Linked DNA regions of Nothobranchius furzeri. The protein of the gene in region 1 interacts with the protein of each later gene in a pairwise test. Links are inferred from orthologs where the notes say so. Each region holds a gene or a part of one and is shown in the gene's direction. Other genes may lie near its edges. The genes, in order: syt4, nbr1a and sgta.

Region 1 (3,652 bases):
GGTCAGAGATGAGGTCCTGCCTCAAGTATCTCATGGGCTTGTTCATGAGTGAGGAAAAGATGGAGCGTGAGATTGATAAGCGGATTGGTGCTCATCTGCAGTGATGCAGGTGCTGTACCAACACATTCTCACACCCAAAGCGTCAAAATATGACGCGTGTGACCAAGTGTCACAATATGTTGATTTGGGATGCCCCAGCGCGTCAGGATAGGACACACAGGGACACGTTTCACCGCTGGCATCCGTATTTGACGCTCGCGGTGACACGGACATTATTCCTCGATTTAACCTTCCCCTCACCCCAATCCTAACCTTAACTCAGTAACTAAGCTGGTTAAGGTTAGAATGGGGGCAAGGGGAAGGTTAAGTAGTTCACAAGTCGGTCAAATGCCCTTTTCACCTCGGGCATCGGATACCGGTGCTCTGGGACAGCGCATCCTCAATGCGTCCTATCCTGACACACTGGGGCATCCCAAATCGTCATATTGTGACGCTTGGTCACACGTGTCATATTTTGACGCTTTGGGTGTGAGAATGTGAAAAAAAGCTGAGTCAGAAGGCAACGCTCTTGATTTACCGGTCGATCTACGTTCCTACCCTCACCTATGTTCACAAGCTTTGGGTAGAGACCGAAAGAGCAAGATACATGGCCGAAATGAGTTTTCTCCACAGGGCGTCTGGACTCTTCCTTAGAGATAGGGTGAGAAGCTTAGTCATCTAGGAGGGGCTCACAGTAATCAGTTGAGGTGGCTTTGGCATCTAGTTAGGATGCCTGCTGGAAGCCTCCCTGGTGATGTTTTCTGGGCACGTCCAGCTGGGAGGAAACCTAAAAGAAGACCCTGGACATGCTGGAGGGACTATGTCTCTCACCTGGCCAGGGAACGCCTTGAGTTTCCCCCAGAAAAGCCAACCCAAGCTGGGGATAAGGACTTCTGGGCCTCTCGACTTAGGCTGTTGCCCCTGCGACCCGACTCCTGATAAGCGGAAGAAAATGGATTGATGGACTGTGAGAGAGAATCAGGGATTTGCAGAATGATGAAGTAATCATCTAACAGTGATGCTTTGTCCCTTTCTCATGAACACAACTAAGGTATAGTTAAATATTAGGCTTTAAACATGTATTATTTTAAATATAGGGTTAGGGTTAGAGTTACCCCACCCTTCTGAATACTTTTAGCATCCATTTCAAATTTATCTTTATTTTATTGCTAAAACAAATAAAATAAGATAAATAAAATGAATAAAAGAGAAAAATAATAAACCTTTCATACAAATATTCACCCTCTGAACCTGCTTTGCCAAGATGGCTGAGAATTTTTACTTTTAGATTTATTTTTTTCTAGATTTTTTTAAGTAAAAAGAAGAAAACACGTTTCCTTAAAACAACTTGTGATGCTTTCAGTTGAAGTAAAACAATTTAGAATACAATTCAACTTTTAATCAATTTAAAATTGTTACTTTAAACTGTGCAAGACTCACTGAAATGCAGTATCCTAATTTATGTGTTTAGCTGTAGCCATTTTCTTGCAGGGTGGTGGCTTTCTTTGCCTGTAGGTGTAGGGTGCGCTGTTTTGTCACCATGCATATGTGAGCACAGACAAATTCCTGAATTAAGTACAATATAGTAATAATAATAATAATAATAATAATAATAATAATAATAATAATAATAATAATAATGCATTGAACTTATATAGCACTTTTCTAGACACCCAAAGATGCTTTAAACAATATAGTAAGTTTTATATTCCTGATAGAAAACATATGACTGCTTTTAGTCAACTCTCTGAATTTCCCCAGAGAAATGATATAAAATGCATTGGAACAATCTGTATAATGAGGTCTGAAAGTGTAACCATTTCCATGGAAACCTTTGGAAAATCCTCTTGGGTGTGGCGTGGGTGTGGAATCAGATACAATTGTGTCTGTGAAGCGCCATCAAAGTGACAAGTCTGTGACAAATAGATTTGGGAGTTTCACAAACGTGTGTTAGTCGAGATCTCATAACACCACAGAAGAAGAAGAAGTTACGAAAAGCACCTGCTTCGAAGCGGGTGTGAAAAGTGAGGACTGAAACAATAGCAGCAGGATTTCTAACCAGCAAAACTGTAGATTAGTATTAGAGAAACTAACATAATACTTTTATATACATCTGAGGCTGCGATGGACTGGCTCTCTGTCCGGGGTGTACCCCGCCTGATTGCCCATTGACCGCTGGAGATAGCCCCCCCCCCCCCCCCCCCCCCCCTCCCACGACCCTACGTGGACAAGGGGGTTCAGAAAATGGATGGTTGGATGGATATATATCTGAAGGTCGACTCATCTCATCTAACATATAACTTAAAATTATTAATTAATTTCTAAAGATACCTTTTCTTGTTTTATGCCAATAAAAGCATTTTGTAATCATTGATCCATTTGAAAACTTACATGCAAACTATAAAAAAGGAAAGCAATCCGGAAGCTGAATATAGAAAAAAGGCCCTCTAGTGGCTGGCTGCAGAATATGTTTTAAGCTCCACCCCCTCCATGTAAACAAATGGTACATTTCATGGCATCTGCCAGTGCGCCCCAGGGAAACTGTGGCTACATCATAGCTCATCACCACCGGGGAGTGAATCTGTGCATGCATGGGTGAATGATTGATAGTGTTGTAAAGCCCCTTGGGGGGTTCTAAGACTGTAGAAGGCGCAATATAAAATAGGCCATTTGTAATACAAAAACTAAGAGTAGTAATTAAGGTGTTGACTGCTGATTCATGTAGATTTTACCCTGCTGCTGTGAATAATAATTTTCATTAACATTTTTTCTGTTTTTAGACATTTTAATGCAGTTATAGTAATCAATGTGTTAATGTATCGAGAGGTTTTCATTTAAAATGTTTTCTCTACAATGCATCTTGCTGTTGAGAGACTAGAGTTTGTTTGATGATGATGCAATGGCTTACATCAAGGTGAAGCTGTGATGTTAGGTTAACTTCAAATGAAATGGCTATATTGTAACATCTTTGATGTTTGTGATTTAAATTCCATTTTGGCTCTCATTTGGAAAGCTCTAACCAGAATAATTCTGTTCTTCATCTCACTGCCATTTTTATTTCCAATCATCGTCTCTACACAGAAGTCTTCAGGGCAAGGGGAGTTGCTGCTGTCGCTGTGTTACCAGTCCACCACCAACACTCTGACTGTTGTTGTCCTCAAAGCCCGCCACCTACCCAAAACTGAAAACAATGGACCTACAGGTATGTTTTGTCTCATAATTTCAATATTATTTCTGGGACTGTGCCAACACATTTATTCAAGATACTTGAAAAGACACCAGACTAAATAAACGTTGCTCATCTAGACATGTTGTTGACTTAAGAAGTGGTGATAATTGCTTTTAGGGTTAGGGTTCACCACTGCTGAACCACAGTAATCCAGTCAGGCTGTGATAGTGACTCACACTCACACCTATACACCCAATGCTTACCCAGCCAGATTATTCTGACCTCATTGGCAATGCCCATTACTTCCTGTCCATTGATTTTTTTAATTGATCTCTCCTTTGAATAACGTCCTGCAAGTAACTGCTGTAAAGATGGATCTAAAGCACATATTTTCTAATTTTCATCTCTGTCATTCTTCTCTAGATCCATATGTCAAGGTCAACA
Region 2 (4,371 bases), on another chromosome or scaffold:
TCAGAAGATATTAAGATTGTGTTTTGGTTTCGTCAATGCAGTAAATGATGCAGAAGTCATTCCATTTTTTTAATCAAATACAGAGCCCACGAAACTGATGTGAAATAGTTTTTTTTTAACATTTGAACTGCTAAAGCAGAGCTGATAAAACTCGAAAGTGACAGACGGAGGGTGTAGCAGACACTGACAGTGGAAAGATAAAAGAACTCAGTGTCAACGTCACAATATGTTACCAAAATGACCTATGTTGTGTATTGTTGTGTATTAGGGTAGCTGGATTATTGGGCAGTGGGTGATTGTGGCCAATACTGAAATCACATTTAACATTACAATTACTAATTGAGGTGGGAAACATTAGACATAGATGACATTTTAAGAATGAAAGTACAGATTGATGTCAGCAGGTGGCAGAATTGACAAGTAGACTAAATCATATGACACTTTAAATGAAAAAAGCTAAATTAAATGTATCACTATATATATATATATATATATATATATATATATATATATATATATTGTATATACATATATATACATACATACACACATATATATATATACCATACCATACCATACCATACCATTTTATTTATAAAGCGCATTCAACATGGCATTACAACCAGACAAGGCGCTGTAAATATATATATATATATATATATGGAAAAGCAGTTTATTTTACATATAAAGAAAAGTCTACTCTTGGTTTGTTAGAACTTGGAGTACAGGTGTCTAACAGAAAAAAATAAACATTTTTAAAAATTGTATATAAAATAAGATATATAAGATAAGATTAGACAAGAATACTCGTTTCCAACCTGGACTTAAAACAAGCGAGTTACGTGCAATTCGAAGCAAAGTATCCAATGAATTCTGATGTTTAGATTTTATCAAGGTTTAACAAGAACTTCGATTGGTCTGTTAAACGTTGAGTTAGCCCAGTGGTAGCTAAGGCCTTCGGCGCATGTGGGTCTAGCGGTGCAATATTTGGTTTCTAGTGAGAAAATTAAAATGGAACCTCACATCGTCCATCAGAAAAACGTATCATCTATCTCTTCCAGCACCTGCCTAAAATGTTTCCCAGACGTATGGTAGCAGGCGGGAAACAAGCACGTTAGCAATCGTTAATTGTTAGCAAACTGGCGCATATCATGCTACAAATGTGGCTAACATGCTACCAATCAACAATAACATATAGTAAAGCCTTCACTGGAGCTTTCGCTCGCGCTAGTCTCACCTTGGTTTTGATTTCATTGTCCACCTTGAGGAGTGAAGACATCTTCCGTGATCAAATACGTAAGTAAAGATTGTCCCACCGGCATATGCAGTAAACGTGTGGCTCCTTGCTTTTCAGCCACACTCACGTCAGCTTACAAATGACGACAACAGCACGCGACAGATGCTCGAGTGCGCCTGCGCGAGACGCCACTGTTATTTTCTCGACGCAGCTGACGATGTAAACAAGAAACGGCAGTCTAGAGCTAAACAGGGATCATACTGTCCGCTATCGTCGCAAATGGTTTCAGTTAAAAAAGCGTAGAAGGCTGTCATGGGGCTCCCAGTCACTATCAAGGTCAACTTCCGCGGGAATGTAAAGAGGTTTTTGGCTCAGGATTTGGACAAATTGGAGTGGGAGTCCGTCGAAGCCTGGGTAAGCGGCTGCTGGCTAAAAGCTGGCGCAGTTTGGTGAAAAGCAGGCCCAGACACGGCCTAGATGCGCGAGCAGCAGCGCACCTGAAGGACAATCGATACTGTCAACGGGATATGCGGAAATACCCGATTTTTCCAAGAGCTGCGGGAAATAATACGTTTAGTTTGGGCTTCTACGTTTATTTTTACACATATATTTCTATTTTCGATGTATTTTTTTTCCTGTGAAGGCCTTCTATTATTGATGTCACAGTCCGTCTGATGAATGATCGATTTAATACCATATAGGTAAATCTGACCCGAACTCTTCGACATTATATTTCAGATCAAAGCATCGTTTGGGATCAACTACTTTCAAGTCAAATACTTTGATGAAGATAATGAAGAGGTGAGATGCTTTTAAAATACAGTATGACCACTAGTCAGGAAGTATTAGACTTTATTTTTAAATAAATTGTTACAAATATTTATTTAAAATGTGTTTTAATTTTCAAATAATTAACAATTCTTTTATATCTTATTAGATTGCTATTACTCGTTTCTTAACTTAAAACAATGTGTTTTAATTGGGTTTAAGTTTGTTTATAAAATAGTTTGAAAACTAATTCTGACAGAAGAGCTTTGAATGCCAATTATTCACTCAAATCAATCAGCAGTGTTTACCTAATCAGTTGTGCTTTGTCAGTCTCAATTCGTAAAGAAACTTGTGACCATAGCTGTCCAAAAAAGATTGTGACATTTATAAAGCAATTTATTTTTGAATGTAAGAAATGGAAACGGCAATGATAAGACAAAAATGGGCCAGTGGCGAAAGTTTTGCATTTAAAAAGATGACATAATTAATTAATCATGATTTTATTTATCTTCTTGCTTCAGATTTGCATAAACAGTCAAGGTAAGAAAACATAGTTTGGGATTATTTTGGCATGTCCTACAGAATATGTAGGTTTTCATTTGTTTTTGTTTGCTTTTCAGATGAATATGAAGAAGCCATCAAGGTAAGGTGACCCTAGTGTCATTTAGTTGGTTGCCATGCAACTAATTTGTCATTAGTGACTCAAAAGACAAAGGAGCATGCTTATCGAGATGTAGCCAAATCTAAACAACACGTTCCTCTCTTGTGTGTTTTTCCTTTTATAACTTTTATGTGATGTTATTGCATCTCCACAGAGCGCAGAGAAGCAGGGGAACCAGTTACACATGAACGTGTATAAGATGAAAGGACAGGCCTGTGGAGGTCCTCTGAAGACAGAAGTGAAGGAGCTTAAAGGAGACCTCCGCCCTGCTCCCCCTTACCCATCAAGAGTCAAAACTGTGGAAAAAGGCACTCAAGTCACCCCAGAGCGTGAAACTGTAAGGAAACAACACATTTTAGTTATTTGTTGCTTTGTGTGCAATTTTTAAATTTTATTTAATAGTATTTTTACTTCTAAGTAGGACAAATCGTCTTGGCAATTTCTGTCTCGGCGTGTTGTTTCATTGACATACGTATGATGTATTTATGTACAGGTAGCGGTAAAAGACAACAAAGGGAACAGGCCCGAAGATGAGCCTCCTCCTATGTGGTTCAGGTCGTACATGGAAAAGGTTAGAGCACACTGAAAGAGCAAGTCAACCCCTACCAGAGTCTTACTCCACTCCCACTTCATGTTTGAAAAATGCAACAAATGCTGTTGCCTGGCAGACCGAGAGGGCGGAGCTGCTAACAAATACACAGGCTCACGACAGCATTGTGACATCATAACGTACCAGTTTACATCATAGCATACCTCTTAGCCAATAGCGGTGGCAGATTTAAATTAGAATACAGTGCAGAGTTTTTACCTGACAACGGCACAACACTGCCAGTTTTAGGCAGAACATTTAAATTTTAACTAAGATGCGCTGAAGTGCCAAATTATTGACGACACGTGTCTGCAGCACGATTAGACACTCGTTTATTTAGTTTATCAGCAAAAAATGTTTATTTGGGGGTGACTTGCTCTTTAAATAAAACAGTTCCTGTGAGTTAATGTGTTTAGCTTCTGCTAAAGCTAACAAGTCTTTTGTTATGGTAGTTTAAGGATGAAGTTGTAAAGGAGGTAGTGGAGAAGATGTGCAACGACTTCTCCGGGCAGTGCTGTACCCACAAATCCTCAGATGGACTCCATGAGGTTGGCGGTGCTTGCGGAGGTCTTGTGGAACCCGGATTGGGCCCCTCTGCTTCGAATGGATCGCTTGGCTACACCCCAAACTGCAGCACCTGCAACAAACTGACCTCTGAAGGGGCTTATAAATGCAGGTAGGCATGAAAGACTTCCAAGAAAACAACATGATGTAGCATTTTGTATTATAAGGGGTAGATTTTTATTAGCATGCATCATGTTTTCATACATTCTGTCTTTTCCTGGCAGTGTGTGTCCTTCCTGCATCCTCTGTGAGATGTGCAGACACAGCCACGACCCCAGTCACAGCCTCGTAAGAACCAAGACACCTCTCTCCATTCCTGAGCATGGAATGTCAGGAGAGTTTAGGTAAACTTTAAACTGAGGATCATCTGTCTACTTCTTGTTGTAATTTAAAGTTGTTGCCTTTTGGTTGTCACATCTTCACTAATAAAGAAAAACATGATTATAAATCAAGTCAAGGCAGGATTGCAATTTATTCTAGCAGCTAGATTACTGAGTGGGGATGTGGTTTTTTTTTTTGTGTTTTTGTTTTGAAAAATAAACTTTTGATAGT
Region 3 (4,336 bases), on another chromosome or scaffold:
TTCCTTTTGCTCGCACACAGTTAGGAAAGAGCCCTCGCCTGCTCTGCTCCTTCCGCTTGGAACCAGCTGCAGAAAACCTGGAAAATGACTGAGCAAGTTTCACTAAATGCCTTCAAAACCAAACTGACAGCTTCAGAGATTGCATTAGTAACTTGTAACTGCTTCTAATGACTGAGTGTTTTATCATTGTCATGACGTTGTAACTGTTTGTATTTTTGCTGCCTCTTGGCCAGGTTCTTAACCTCAATGGGTCTCTATCCTGGTTAAATAAAGGTTTAAAAAATCTTTTAAATCTTCCTTTCATTAACTAGAGCACATAACCTAAAACTCTTAGCTGATGAGGTTCAGCAGCGAGAAACTCAACAATGAACACCTGGCAGGAAAAAAACCAAACTAAACAAAAACTTTGTAATTCCACAACAACCCTAACCTGCAGGCACATTTAAAACATCTGATATATATATATATATATATATATATATATATATATATATATATATATATATATATATATATATATATATATATATATATATATATAAACACATGTAGAATTGTGAGATAAATTGTGAATTATTTTAATTAAAACAACAACGTAAATATATATTTACGTTGTTGTTTTAATTAAAATAATTCACAATTTATCTCACAATTCTACATGTGTTTATATATATATATATATATATACATATATATATATATATATATATATATATATATATATATATATATATATATATATATATATATATATATATATATATATAACACATGTAGAATTGTGAGATAAATTGTGAATTATTTTAATTAAAACAACAACGTAAATATATATTTACAGAAAAAAATGAGAAGGTTGCCAATGAATCTTGTATTTTGCTACTTTTGAAGGGTTCATTATTCTGTAATTTTAAATGTAAGCCAGTCCACAAATGTCTGAATATCACCTCAGGTCAGGATTTTATGGTTAACGCTTCAGTGTCATCAATCCTAACTGAAGTCTGAAATAAGGTGTGTGCACCCTGGAGTCCGTGGTGAATGGATGACTCTCCAAGTGTTCGCTACTCAAGCGGGAGTTTGAATTTGGAGTCCAGCTGTGGGTTCTTAGGCTGAAAGGTCAAGCTTCTCATGGTTGCTGTTCTGACGCGTTCAGTGGAAACCGGTGGTCATAATGTTATGGATAATTGGAGTAAATGAACTATACAAACAGACCAGCAGGGGGCGATGTCAAAGGGAAAGTCGCGCTTCACGTAGTTTGTCCCTGTAGGGCCGCCGTAGCGCTGAAAAATACAAACGCCTTTTCCATCGTTTTAAAGGTGAGAACAACTTAACAGGTAAAGATTCCAGTTAAACACCTCAGATGAACCCGCTCACGCGCCTTTAGCTGACCGCGTCTTCAGGAGGAAAGCTGCAAAAGTCTGTCCTCATTTATTTCATTTCTGCTCGTCGGAGGCGGAAATGATTCGTTATGAGGATTTTAGAGACACGGTTATTAACTTTATCTTTACTTCCTGTGAGGCTCTGGAGCCTCAGCAGGACGCAGCTCCAGGTCACGGGCAGGCTCGTGTCCGGAGAGGTGGAGGTGTTTCTGCGGACCCTGGAGCTGCCTGAGCCCCGGAGGACTGGCTCGTTATCCGGACTCCTGCAGAAGGACAGGTGGGTAGGGACGAGCTTCCGGTTCGGTCCTGGCTGCAGGCTTTCCGCGGGGTCTAAAAAGTCCTAACAGCGTTGAATTTAGGAATTTGGAAATGATTCCTTAAAAGGTCTAAAATGAGTGCGGAACGTAAATGACCCGTACCGTGTTTGTCCTCTAGAGTTTCATTTGTCAACCACCATCATTTTTATATTACACCTTATTGTTTTATAACGTAGCATAAATAGAGTGGCGGAACCAATAATAGAGAACCGCCTCGGGTCTAAATACTCCGAACACGTGACGTATTCAGCTCCCGCGCTACAGCAGCGATCCAAAACGGTAAACACACACCGTGTGTGTGTGTGTGTGTGTGCGCGTGCGCGTGGACCACACAGACCTCCAGCAGAGGAGGAACATAGAACATCTCAGCTCATGAGAAAGGCTGACTGACGCCTAGGGCGGGTTCCAGAACTCTGGACCTCTTTGGGACTGAGTGGAAACACTCGTAGGTCCCAGGGCCGGATTAACACTTTGTTACCCTGGGCAACAATATTCAAGGGCCCCATCATAACAACCCAAGAATCACCACAATATGGTCACATACAGAATATTTTACTGTAATATGCAGTAAATATACTCAATACTTGAATGCCTGACATCACGTAACCCGCTCAGGGTAACCTTTGACCCACCTCGTGTGGACTGACCAATGAGGAGAGGGTCTTAACTTGAGGCCCTCTCTTCTGGTCCAAGCTCTTTGACATTAAGTTTTCCACCATAGTTCTCCTCTCGAACGGATACTGGAGAAGAGACCGAACTGAATTCAGTGGCTGCTGAGATCCGGTATCCATGCTGGTTGTAGTCACCGGCGGCGTCCATGTTACATCTGCGTCACGACCAAAAACGTGCTGGAGTAGTCGAGACTCTCCGAGTTCTACCGAATACCAACGAAAGCCTTTGGCGGTAGCTCTATCGCCCATCATGCTTCTGAATCGACGTCGACGCTGATTGGATACATTCCCATTCCTACCGTTTGATTTTCTTGTCAGCAATTGGCCGGCAGCTTCCGTGCTGTTTGGGCGATTGAAACACAGCCTACAGCCTTTCTGTCGCCTCCACCGCTCGGCAGAGAGCTTCTCACCAATATAGATATATACATATATGATTTGTTTTTGTTACAAATCACACAATTAACTTAGAATATGTGATTATTGTTAATTTTATTTATTTTTTTTTAATTAAAATTAAAAACACTGGGGAAAACTGGGAGGGCGGCGCCCTATCACCCTCTACTGGCCAGCCGCCACTGAAAGCAGGAGATTACAGATACAGTATTTTGCTCTTGCCCTTGCTGCCCTGGGCCCTTTAGAGTTCATGGGCCCCTGGGCAATTGCCCAGTTGCCCATATGGTTAATCCGGCCTTGGTAGGTCCCAAATATCAGAAAAAAGTGTTAAAATGTCCCGATGTGCCACTGCAGGTCACATGACTGATCCCGGGTCACGTTATGAGTGGAGCAGGCGCGTCTCCTTTCAGCAACATTAACTAGAAAACAAACGTTTGGGTCGTTTAGCTAAAGTACGCAGCAGCTAAATGCATCAGCAGGAATAGCAGCAGTTTCACCAGCACCTGGTCGTGCAGGGCGGCATCTTAAGAGCTGGAACATGGAACGTCTCTGACTGCAACCAAGTCAACCCGAGTCCATCACCTTCCCAAGCCCTGGAGGAGTGTGAGGATGGAGGCTGATGACAGCAGACCTGGCTGCTGTTATAAAAGCAGTTCAGCAGGTTGTTGTTAACTGCTGTTACTGACATGAAGTCAGCACTAATGAAGCTGCTTTATTCATGTTTACATGTTGGGCCTTTACTGTTTGCACTGCAGCTTTGCTGGAATAAAGTATAATATCAATAAATATAATAAAATAATATAAAGAACACAACCTTTAAGTACTTTGTTATCCTCTCTTCTCGCCATCGTTAAAGTAGTAGTATGAATAAGTACTTCATGGTACCCAGCCCCACTGATGCTGTTATAGACATGTGTTACGTTTAGGGCTGCAACTAACGATTATTTTCATAATCGATTAATCTGTCGATTATTTTTTCGATTAATCGATTATCGGTTTGTTACTGTTTAGCTATTTAACCTATACAAGTGATGGATGCATTTCAGTTAAGAAAAAAAAACATAAGAGAATTGTGCAGTTGACTGCAATCTATTTTATTGCACATGAACACAGTCAGCAGTAGAAAATGAGCTAAACAGTGCAAAATATCAGTCCAGAATAATTTTTTAGCATTAGCTGGAAGCCTGCTCCTTCCACCATGGATAGTGGCCTCATGTCTTTTACCAGCATGTTTAGAATAGAGTTTGTAAGTGGTATGCATTGCTGGGGGGTGAGTGTCTTCTTCCCCATGTAGTTGTCCATCGTTGCTTGTTTTTTTCTGCATAAGAAACACAAATAGACTGAAATAAGTACACATATAAAATAAAGCAGCACACACACTACAACACTAAATCAATGTTAAATTATTTGAATTAATTAACAATATACAGTGATCATTTATTTTGAGGGTTACGTTCTACAAAATAGCCCGCAACAGGAGATATTAAGAAAAAAAGTCTAATTTTTTTACTATTAAAAAGCTCAGAGTAAGAAGCTCATGAGGTTTTTACTTTGAGTCGGGAGTGTTTAAATTAGCTAG

The links.
Region 2: the proteins of syt4 (region 1) and nbr1a interact in binary tests that used the Homo sapiens proteins (3 or more experiments, as listed by UniProt). The two-hybrid records come from large-scale screens. The link is inferred for Nothobranchius furzeri from reciprocal best matches to the Homo sapiens genes SYT4 and NBR1.
Region 3: the proteins of syt4 (region 1) and sgta interact in binary tests that used the Homo sapiens proteins (3 or more experiments, as listed by UniProt). The two-hybrid records come from large-scale screens. The link is inferred for Nothobranchius furzeri from reciprocal best matches to the Homo sapiens genes SYT4 and SGTA.

What each region holds. Positions count from the first base shown.
Region 1 is NC_091742.1:82,355,413-82,359,064, forward strand, and holds part of syt4 (synaptotagmin-4), read left to right. Parts: intron 1-3,120; coding exon 3,121-3,241; intron 3,242-3,631; coding exon 3,632-3,652. UniProt on the Homo sapiens protein: Synaptotagmin family member which does not bind Ca(2+). Involved in neuronal dense core vesicles (DCVs) mobility through its interaction with KIF1A.
Region 2 is NC_091756.1:48,477,226-48,481,596, forward strand, and holds the start of nbr1a (NBR1 autophagy cargo receptor a), read left to right. Parts: upstream 1-1,419; 5' UTR 1,420-1,549; coding exon 1,550-1,651; intron 1,652-1,975; coding exon 1,976-2,038; intron 2,039-2,526; coding exon 2,527-2,545; intron 2,546-2,625; coding exon 2,626-2,648; intron 2,649-2,820; coding exon 2,821-3,003; intron 3,004-3,159; coding exon 3,160-3,237; intron 3,238-3,707; coding exon 3,708-3,931; intron 3,932-4,043; coding exon 4,044-4,163; intron 4,164-4,371. Other genes in the region: psme3 (proteasome activator complex subunit 3), read right to left, coding at 1,238-1,279. UniProt on the Homo sapiens protein: Ubiquitin-binding autophagy adapter that participates in different processes including host defense or intracellular homeostasis.
Region 3 is NC_091748.1:79,890,730-79,895,065, forward strand, and holds the start of sgta (small glutamine-rich tetratricopeptide repeat-containing protein alpha), read left to right. Parts: upstream 1-1,513; 5' UTR 1,514-1,653; intron 1,654-3,830; exon of another isoform or gene 3,831-4,075; intron 4,076-4,336. UniProt on the Homo sapiens protein: Co-chaperone that binds misfolded and hydrophobic patches-containing client proteins in the cytosol. Mediates their targeting to the endoplasmic reticulum but also regulates their sorting to the proteasome when targeting fails.